Neurospora crassa OR74A: one gene and its partner. The protein of the gene in region 1 purifies or fractionates together with the protein of each later gene. This does not show direct contact. Links are inferred from orthologs where the notes say so. Each region holds a gene or a part of one and is shown in the gene's direction. Other genes may lie near its edges.

Region 1 (3,556 bases):
GCTATGTGCAACAACAGGGCTATGGCAATCAACCTACACAAGCTGCTCCCTCGCGGTTCCCCATGTCTCCTCCTGAGTCCCACCCCGGCCGATTGGTACAAGCCCACACTAGGAACAACTCCAGCATGGATGGTTCGCTGATGGCTGCGCTGCCACAGGGTCAGGATGTCATTCGCGTCATCTCCACAGGTGGCGTAACCAAGGTTGTTAAGATTGCCGACTGCAACACCTGTGAAGAGGTTATGCGTGTTACCCTACGTAAGTTTGGCCTGCGGGAGGACCATGAAAGGAATTACTGTTTCTGGGTACTGGCCGGCGTTGATCCGGACCCAAACCAATGCCGCCGCCTCGGGGATACGGAGCTGTGGAGAGTCATCAAGGACCACACTCGCCCAGAGCGCAACCGCCTGATTCTCAGGCGTGTTCCTTCTGGAGAGCCGGGCAAGGCAGAACTCGAAAGAGCAGCTGCCATTGCGATGGAGGAAGCACAGCAAACACATAGGCCTCCAATTGAGCCCAGCGATAAGCGGAGTCAGCTGAAGCTGCAAAAGGTGCTGGGAGTGGGCTGGGAAGACCTCCAACAACAGCCTCCGCTGTCTCCCATGTCCTATCAGGACCGAGAAAGAAACGTCTCAAACGCTGCTAGGGATCTAGAGCGGCCAGCACCTCTGGAAACCCCCAGGGCCATGCCTCGCCGTACACAAGCACTTCGTCAGTTCGGTGGGCTGAGACCGCCTAGCGAGCTTATCGCCTCGGATCTTACGAGCTACTTTCCAGATCACTCTCGTGAAGCTATTGACAGGACGGCCCGTTTGTCCATGAGACGCTCGGCACGTCTGAGTAGAGTGAACCATCGTCTGAGTGTTGCCAGCACCCTTAGCTTTGCCTCTAGCATACAAGACGCTCCGCCGATCCCTACCATCGCAGACAGCTGGTTGACCGCTTCCAACCAGATTGCCAAGGTACGCCCGCGTGATGTGCTGCCAAGGGCGCCTCACGGGTATAGAGATTCTGTGGCTTCATCCGTGCTTGATACGCTACAAGAAGAAGGCTCCCCAACCGAGCCTAACCGGAGATCATTCGTTCCATTTTCGGACAGCGGCTCGGATACAGCTGCAGTTAGCGTCATTGATCCCGATGGTAACATAGTCAGACACAGTTACTACGACAGCGGCACCAACAACTCGGCCGATTCCGCGGTAATACAGGAAGCACTTGCTGAAGATGGCGAGGATGCAGCTGACAAGGAGCTTCAAACTTTTCTGGCGGGCGACGCTTGGGACGACAGTATGTGGATGAAGGGTTCTCTTATCGGCCAGGGTTCATTTGGCTCCGTGTACCTCGCCCTACATGCCATCACTGGTGAACTGCTCGCCGTGAAGCAGGTCGAGACACCTGCGCCTGGTGCAGACAGTAAGAACGATGCCCGCAAGAAGAGCATGATTGAAGCGCTCAAGCGCGAGATCACCCTCCTTCGTGACCTCCAACATCCCAATATCGTGCAGTACCTGGGCTGCAGCTCATCCGCGGAATATCTCAACATTTTCCTCGAATACGTTCCCGGTGGTTCCGTGCAGACCATGCTCAACCAATACGGTGCCCTCCCTGAATCACTCGTTCGCAGCTTCGTTCGCCAAATCCTCCAGGGCCTCTCCTACCTCCACAACCGTGACATCATTCACCGCGACATCAAGGGCGCCAACATCCTTGTCGACAACAAAGGTACCATCAAAATCTCCGATTTCGGCATCTCCAAGAAACTCGAAGCCACCAACATCCTCAACGGCGCCAACAACAACAAGCACCGTCCCTCACTGCAAGGCTCCGTCTTCTGGATGGCTCCTGAGGTAGTCAAACAAACCAGTTACACCCGCAAAGCCGACATCTGGTCACTCGGCTGCCTGGTGGTCGAGATGATGACGGGTACCCACCCGTTTCCCGATTGCACCCAGTTGCAGGCCATCTTCAAGATTGGCGGCTCCAAGGCCTCGCCGACGATCCCGGATAACGCTAGCGAGGAGGCTAAGCAGTTCCTTGCGCAGACATTCGAGATTGATCATAATAAGCGGCCGAGCGCAGATGAGCTGATGTTGAGCCCGTTCTTGACGCCTGTGCCCGGGACATAGGAGTCTTCCAATAAAGTGTGAGAGTTTTCGTATGTCAGAAATTGACATAAGAGGAGGATTTAATCAGGGCTTGAATTGTAGTGACAAAAAACATGTGTATGTGTTGCTACTCATCTGTGAGGTTTGTCTGTCTGTCACGCTGTCTGTTTTACGCTGGTGTCTGTCAAATGTGGTCTGTCTGAAAACGACTATGACTACTTCCTTTCTTTTCCCCAAGTTCTTGTTTTGATTACCTCTTTTTGTTTTTGATTTGATGTTGCTCACTCAGCAGGCTGGCTGGCTGGCGCCGGGCAGGACAGGGCAGGCAAAAAATGGCACTTTTTCCGAGACAAATACTACCGACGGATGGCATCTTGTTTTGTTGGGACGGGGATAGGGACATTTTTGTGATTTTTCCGGTCATTTTTCATTTCCATGTTAAGTTTTCCTTTTAAACTCCATTCATTTTTTTTTCTCATATACAATACCTACCTACTACCAACATGGCGGCAGGAAGGTGTAAAGAAGACGGGGATAGGAACTGGGAATATTTCAACGATGTGATGGACGAGTCAGAACCGATTAACATGATGATGGGATGGAAGGACGAGGAGGAAACTTATTGGAACTGGGAGGGCTGGGTATGGTGGGGCGAGGAAGGGAGAGCGGTATGCAGTCGTGAAAGGGGAGGAGGAAGAGAGCGATAGTGACTGAAAAGAAAGTGTTTAAAGTTCAAGTACCTGACTTCCTGAGATGACCCTTTCGGTGACTTTCAATCCTCTGGCTTTAAGCAAGAGTATGGTACCTGTCTGTGTATGTTGTGGGCGGTAGTGACTCGGTCTGTCTACTGTACCTCCTACAAGCCTGGCATTCTATAGGCTCATTTGGGAATATTAGAAGAGCACACCTCCTTTGGAGCCGTTACAGACTTTGGTTCGACCCTTCTTTGTGACGACGGAAGTCGATATTTCCTCTGTTAAAACCTTCCTCACACGGCAGTCATTCATTCATAGGCGTGAACTCTCGAGTGGACGCCAAACCATCAATGCGGGTAGGTGGCCCAGAAGATCAACTCACTGCTGCGGAAGCTTTTTTAATAGTCATAGCCGAGCAGCTTCTAGAAAAATGGATGGCTTCGATGAAGTTTCACATGAAAACTGGACTCAACAGCTAGTCCACTGTGCTTTGGCTTCAAGCCGTTTCAAACTGAGGAAGAAGCTCGGTAGGTAGCCATACGAAATGCTTTTTATAGGTCCCGCCGGCTCTTATGCAATTGGTTCACTTCACGGCTTTAGTTGGTAAGGAAAGGAACGAAGTAACGAAGCTTCAAGCTTAGTACTGTAGACGTTCCTTTCTTAAGGTATGCAAGCAAGGAGAAGACAACATCGATGCGAAAGAGCGGAACTTGATTGAAGGCCCTATCCGCCGCGTGTGCTGCTGTAAACTAGGTA
Region 2 (5,291 bases), about 2.2 Mb from region 1:
GGTCCATGATGCGCACATCATGCCACTTGCAAACCTTCCGCGCCTTAAGGAAGTATACGTCACAGGTGACTCGGCCTTCACGGCCTCGGGGATCCTGAAATTCTTCCAAAAGATGGAAGAAACCCCCGACCATGACCATCAGGGGTTTGAATTCGGCGCGGCGTTCCAGCAAGGCACTTCGATTGGACAGAGAGAGTACATACGCATTCGTAAGGCAGCCAAGCGAGCCTTTGATGGAGATGTTGATATCCGGTTCATTGATTCCGACGGAGAAGAGTACTGATTCCAGGATAACCTAGAGTCTTGGTAGCCCCTCAAGGCACGGAAACTGTGAATGACTGATACTAACGAGGCCGCGGCTCAATCAAGTAGTTGGGAGGGCCCCTGATAAGGGAGAAAATTAGGGGTGGCTAACATGTTCACATGATGTTTGTTGCCGGTCGTAAATAAGCACGGAGAGAGAAATTATATGCCTGGAAGAAATCCGATGTACATCTTCATTCGAAACTCCCGGAGCAAGATCATGTGATATGATTTGCAGTACTGTTTGCGCTTACAGGTACGCTTTGCATGCCTATATCTATAATAAACTGGCATTTCTTTTTTTATGTTCGGACCAAAAGCAGACAAGTGTTGCAATGAATGACCGTCTCATCCACGTCGTGTCCCCATGTGAATGGATTCAAGCGAGTGGTTATAGGAATGGAAAACGAAACATGTCCATCACAGTCCATTTCTGAAATCATGTTCGACGTCCAGCACGTTCTCTGCCTATATGCTCTGAGTTCGAAGTTACATCCCAATACCTTGACACCTTGCTCAGGTGTTTTCGACTATCCACAACACATATAACGGCCTTTGTCCAGATTCTTTTGTTTCCTTTTCGTCCTTTTTGTTTCTTTTTTTTTTTCCTGCTTCAAGGGTGGCCGTCCCGCAATCAAACTCAACAATGCTAGTAGGGGTAGCTTGTTTGACAGATCAAGCCTCGGATGACACAGTGGCTTGTGTAGAGGCTCAGAAGGAAGAAAGGAACTTGAAGTGTCGTATGTACAAGGAGAGATTGCGGAAGCTGGGTTAGGGTTTCAAGTTGGAATATCAAAGGTGGAAATTTACCATAGCGAAATAGAAAAGATATCTTTCCATTGTTACCCTCATATGACTCGGTAGGTGACCACATTCTATATCTTAGGATGTAAAACAGGATAACCCGATTCTGGCTAGCTTTAGAAATGCACGGGTTTCCTCGACCATCGATCATTACATGGATAGTTAGACTGGCGGTCTGTTGACTTGTTCCTGAATGCGGTAAACTGTTTACATTTTCATTTCGTTACTGGCTCAGTACTGCAGAACATGGGTGTTGTGCACGGACAAGCGCACGGGCCCTGAAAGTGCAGTAAACGCGGAACATGTTAGGAATTGAAAAGATGTCATATTTACCGTGTCTATCAACCCCTAGGTACGGTGGGCGATTGGAAAAAAAAAAGAAGAAAACAAAGCAGCTCGTGCCAGCTGAGGCTTGGGTAGAATGGATATATCTCTCCTTACTTCTACATTTTCTAGCGATCGTTGATAGCTGTTCCTGCTATTCAAACACTGTGGCGGCATGCAGTCATAATGCAGTGCGCGATGGACCGGAGCCTTCTACGTCTTTCTACATGACCCCACTCCTCTGGTGTAGTGTTGAATATCGTCAGGAGTTATGGACCCCGCCATAACACAAGCTGGCCCCCTCCCCTCCTCTTCCGCTCTCTGCTCCGTACATGGCAACTTGCTTGGAACCAAATCATTACCCATATTTAACACAATTCTTTGACACTGCTTCACTTTCGCGATCTACACGCCAGTAAAGTATTTCAGAAGCGCTTCTTCAATTCGAACATCTGAATCAATAGTCAGAATTACTGCTCGCCGCAAAGAGTCAGGATGCCGGTCGACTACAGCAAGTGGGTAAGTTACCCTTTTTTTTGGCCACCATGAGTGCAACTCGTGGAGAGATGCACTGACATGCCGATTCAGGATGCGCTGGAGCTCAGCGATGACTCTGATGTCGAGGTTCATCCCAACGTCGACAAGCGGTCTTTCATTCGTGCCAAGCAGAACCAGATTCATGCGGAACGCCAGCAACGCAAGCTCCAGATCGAGACCCTCAAGTACGAAAGAATCATCAATGATACTCTGATCAAGCGGATCTCCTCCCTACTTGCCTCTCTCAAGGCCCATGCTTCGGAAGTCAGCTCGCGCAACCCAGGCGAGGTGGCCTTCCAGGCTGTCATAGAGTCGGCCGCTGGTCTAGATCCCAAGGATGACCAGCCCCCACCAAGGCCTGCCGGTGTTCACAATGCAGAACAACCCCTGCCTACGTACACCAAGATGATGGCCACGCTTCTTGACGATGTCAACAAGACCTTGGAGGAGAAGAAAGTCGAGCAAGACAAGAGATACGAAGCTACTATCGCGGAAGTGGAGGAGCACCTCAAGAAAGTCACAAACCTACAGGGCGAGTTGCTCAACAAGCTTGACGAGCTGGAAAAGATTGACAAGAGCAAAATTACGAGCGAGTCTATCCACACGGGCTTTGACAGCACGCACATCAACAAGGCGAAGGCCTCTACCTCAGGAGACAAGAAGGAGGCGTCCAAGGTCGAACTTCTAAACCCGAACTACAGCGCCACCGATAGCCTACCTGCACCCAGCACGACTACGAACGATGATGACGATGATGCTGAAATTGAGGCTTCTCCTGCCGCCAAACAATTTGCTTCGATCAAGGCAGACGACTACCGGGAGTCCCTCGCCTTCCTTACGAAACACCCAGAAATCCTTACCGAAAAAGAAACCGATGGTCTGCTCGTCCTCGCTTTCGACGCACAGCTTCAAAATCGTGACGACTATGCTCGCAATTGCGTCCACCAAGCACTCCTGCTGCAATACTGCCGGGCTTTGGGACGCGACGGTGTCGCTTTATTCTTCAAGCGCATCACGACACAAGGCCACCAGGCCCAGGAGGTCTTCTTCAAGGATGTGCAGGACACATTTTACAAGATCAAGAACAGGGCCAGAGAGATCAACCTGCAGAGGGCAAAGGAAGAGGCCGAAGGTGGCAGCCAAGAGGGAGTGGAACAGATCCAACTGCATGCGGTAGAGCCTGGTACGGTGATCAACATCAACATTCCTCCAGCTGACAGTGAAGACCCGGAGGTACAGCAAGCTAGAGCTATCTTTGAAAGCTTTAGTCCCGAGATGAAGAAGGCTCTGGAATCGGGCAAGTTGGATGAGGTGAACAAGGTTCTGGGCAAGATGAAGGTTGAGGAGGCTGAGGAGTTGGTGAGCAAATTTGGAGATGTAAGTTGACAGTCGTTTTCTTCCGTGTTGATTTGCTGCAAGAACAGAATTGCTAACATGAGGTCTTTAGGCTGGTGTTTTGAGTCTCGAGGAGGAAATCATTGACGCCACTACACAAGAGGGCCAGGAAAAGTGGAAGGAGATCGAGGCTGCCAAGAAGCACGCAGATGAGCCCGCTGGTGACCCGGAATGATTAATGTAAGACGCCGTCTTCGTACCTTTCGTTCTGGCTTGGAACATGTTTAGGACATAGGCATTGTAATTTCGACGGACATAGCAACGAACATAGGAGCATACCAGGCTTCAAGCTATATCAAGGTCATGTGTTAGCTCTGCCCTGTTTTCAGAATTCACTGTACGGATCGCCTTTTCGACCAATAAGCAGGTAGTCGGCTGTATCATCCTTCAGTCGAGTTTCTGTTACTGAGTTATGGCTGGCATATCAGATTTAGCATCACTCCCAAGTTCACGGGATTGTTAGTTGATCGCCTTGGTTCTGTCCGTAAGCAACACAATGGCCACGCAATCAGATACTAATCTTGATCAAATAGAGCATCAACATGGTCAAGACTTGCGTGGGTGTTTTATTCGTTCATCTTGAAATCCCCCAAGCGAGAGCAAGCAGCCTCTTTCTCCACAAGCTTACGTTTTCTTTGTTGAGCTGACGCAGCTGCCCAGCAAGGTGCTCGCAAGTTCACAACCTCTGGTATGGCTAGATACGATGTTAATGGTTCTACGGAATTCCTTAGTGAAGAGTACCTGAGAGAGAGAATCAAGGAGTGGTGTCCCTGGTGTTTCGAGGGTGTTTGAGAGGCTTATACTCGTCTGTACCTGATCGGGAAAACCATGGGACCCCTCAGTGCCGTCGCTGGGGAGACCCTTTTCTGGGTCGCCAATAGCCAATCAGAATCTGCGATACACTCCTGCATAGTTACCCCTGAGTCACAAACACAAAGTTGGCGGTACGTACACATATCTCCAGATTGGGAACTCCGTTCTACATACTTCATGAGACGCAGCCTCACCTCATTTCGGCCTCAGTCCGGGGCCTTTGTATGAGCCGCGCACGCTGTGAATCTGCGAGTCTAAAAGGGCGAAGATTGGGGGTAATTGCTCGATCATTTACAGATAAGCGGGCTGACTGACTACATCAAAGCGAGGCGCAGCACGCCTCCTTGTCAAGTTACAGCACAAGGTTGTTTCATAACGCTGAAGTTGACTTGTGAGAGGAAGTCTTTTTTTCCCTCTCTCTTTTTTTGGGAAACAGAGCCTCCTTGTCGTCGCAAAGACGTGGACGGGGTGGGGTGATCTTCAACTCATTAGCGGATCCCAACCCATTGGGTAAAGGTGAATGCACATGCGTACCCATGCAGATCCGTTCGAAGAGCAGTCTTTCTCTAGTGCAGAAAGAGAGGAAAGTCGGTGGATGAGGCGAGGCCGAAAACGATTGCGGAAAACTTGCATTCTTCTGCTTGACATTCTCTTTCTACTCCTTTCGATATTTCTTTTCCTTAGACTCTTCAACACTCACGGCATTTTTGGGAGTTCAGTTCTAGTCGTTTGCTCATTACACTCGATACCAGGCTCGGGGACAGAGAGCCGAGACCCTTTCCCACGATCCCAATCACCGCAACTCCTCCACGGGGGTCAATCTGAAAGTAACAATAATGCCATCACTCATCTCATCTCTGGCAACGGCGCTATTACTGGTCTCTGGAATTTGCGCCATTCCACAGGGACCATCTGGAGCCGAGAGTGGGATCGTAAGCGCGGTATCGGCAGCCTCGGTATCAACGGCAGGCGTAGCCGTCTCTCAAGCAACAACAGCATCACCGTCAACGAGCAACGCCGCCAGTGGTATCTCTGCCTGTAACAACTCACCGTTGCTTTGCGATCGGGCCTACAACAATGTCACTCACATGGGCGCGCACGATTCGTCCTTTCTC

Evidence for each region. The genes of interacting proteins can lie anywhere in the genome.
Region 2: the proteins of nrc-1 (region 1) and NCU00472 purify together in Saccharomyces cerevisiae (affinity purification with western blotting, with the first as the bait; 3 studies listed by BioGRID). This does not show direct contact. The link is inferred for Neurospora crassa OR74A from reciprocal best matches to the Saccharomyces cerevisiae genes STE11 and CDC37.

What each region holds. Positions count from the first base shown.
Region 1 is NC_026503.1:1,805,888-1,809,443, forward strand, and holds the end of nrc-1 (MAPKK kinase), read left to right. Parts: coding exon 1-2,126; 3' UTR 2,127-2,846; downstream 2,847-3,556. UniProt on the Saccharomyces cerevisiae protein: Serine/threonine protein kinase required for cell-type-specific transcription and signal transduction in yeast. It is thought that it phosphorylates the STE7 protein kinase which itself, phosphorylates the FUS3 and or KSS1 kinases.
Region 2 is NC_026503.1:3,975,478-3,980,768, forward strand, and holds NCU00472 (CDC37), read left to right. Parts: upstream 1-1,578; 5' UTR 1,579-1,926; coding exon 1,927-1,950; intron 1,951-2,019; coding exon 2,020-3,345; intron 3,346-3,415; coding exon 3,416-3,538; 3' UTR 3,539-3,962; intron 3,963-4,023; 3' UTR 4,024-4,267; downstream 4,268-5,291. Other genes in the region: NCU00471 (hypothetical protein), read left to right, coding at 1-283; NCU00473 (hypothetical protein), read left to right, coding at 5,013-5,291. UniProt on the Saccharomyces cerevisiae protein: Co-chaperone that binds to numerous kinases and promotes their interaction with the Hsp90 complex, resulting in stabilization and promotion of their activity.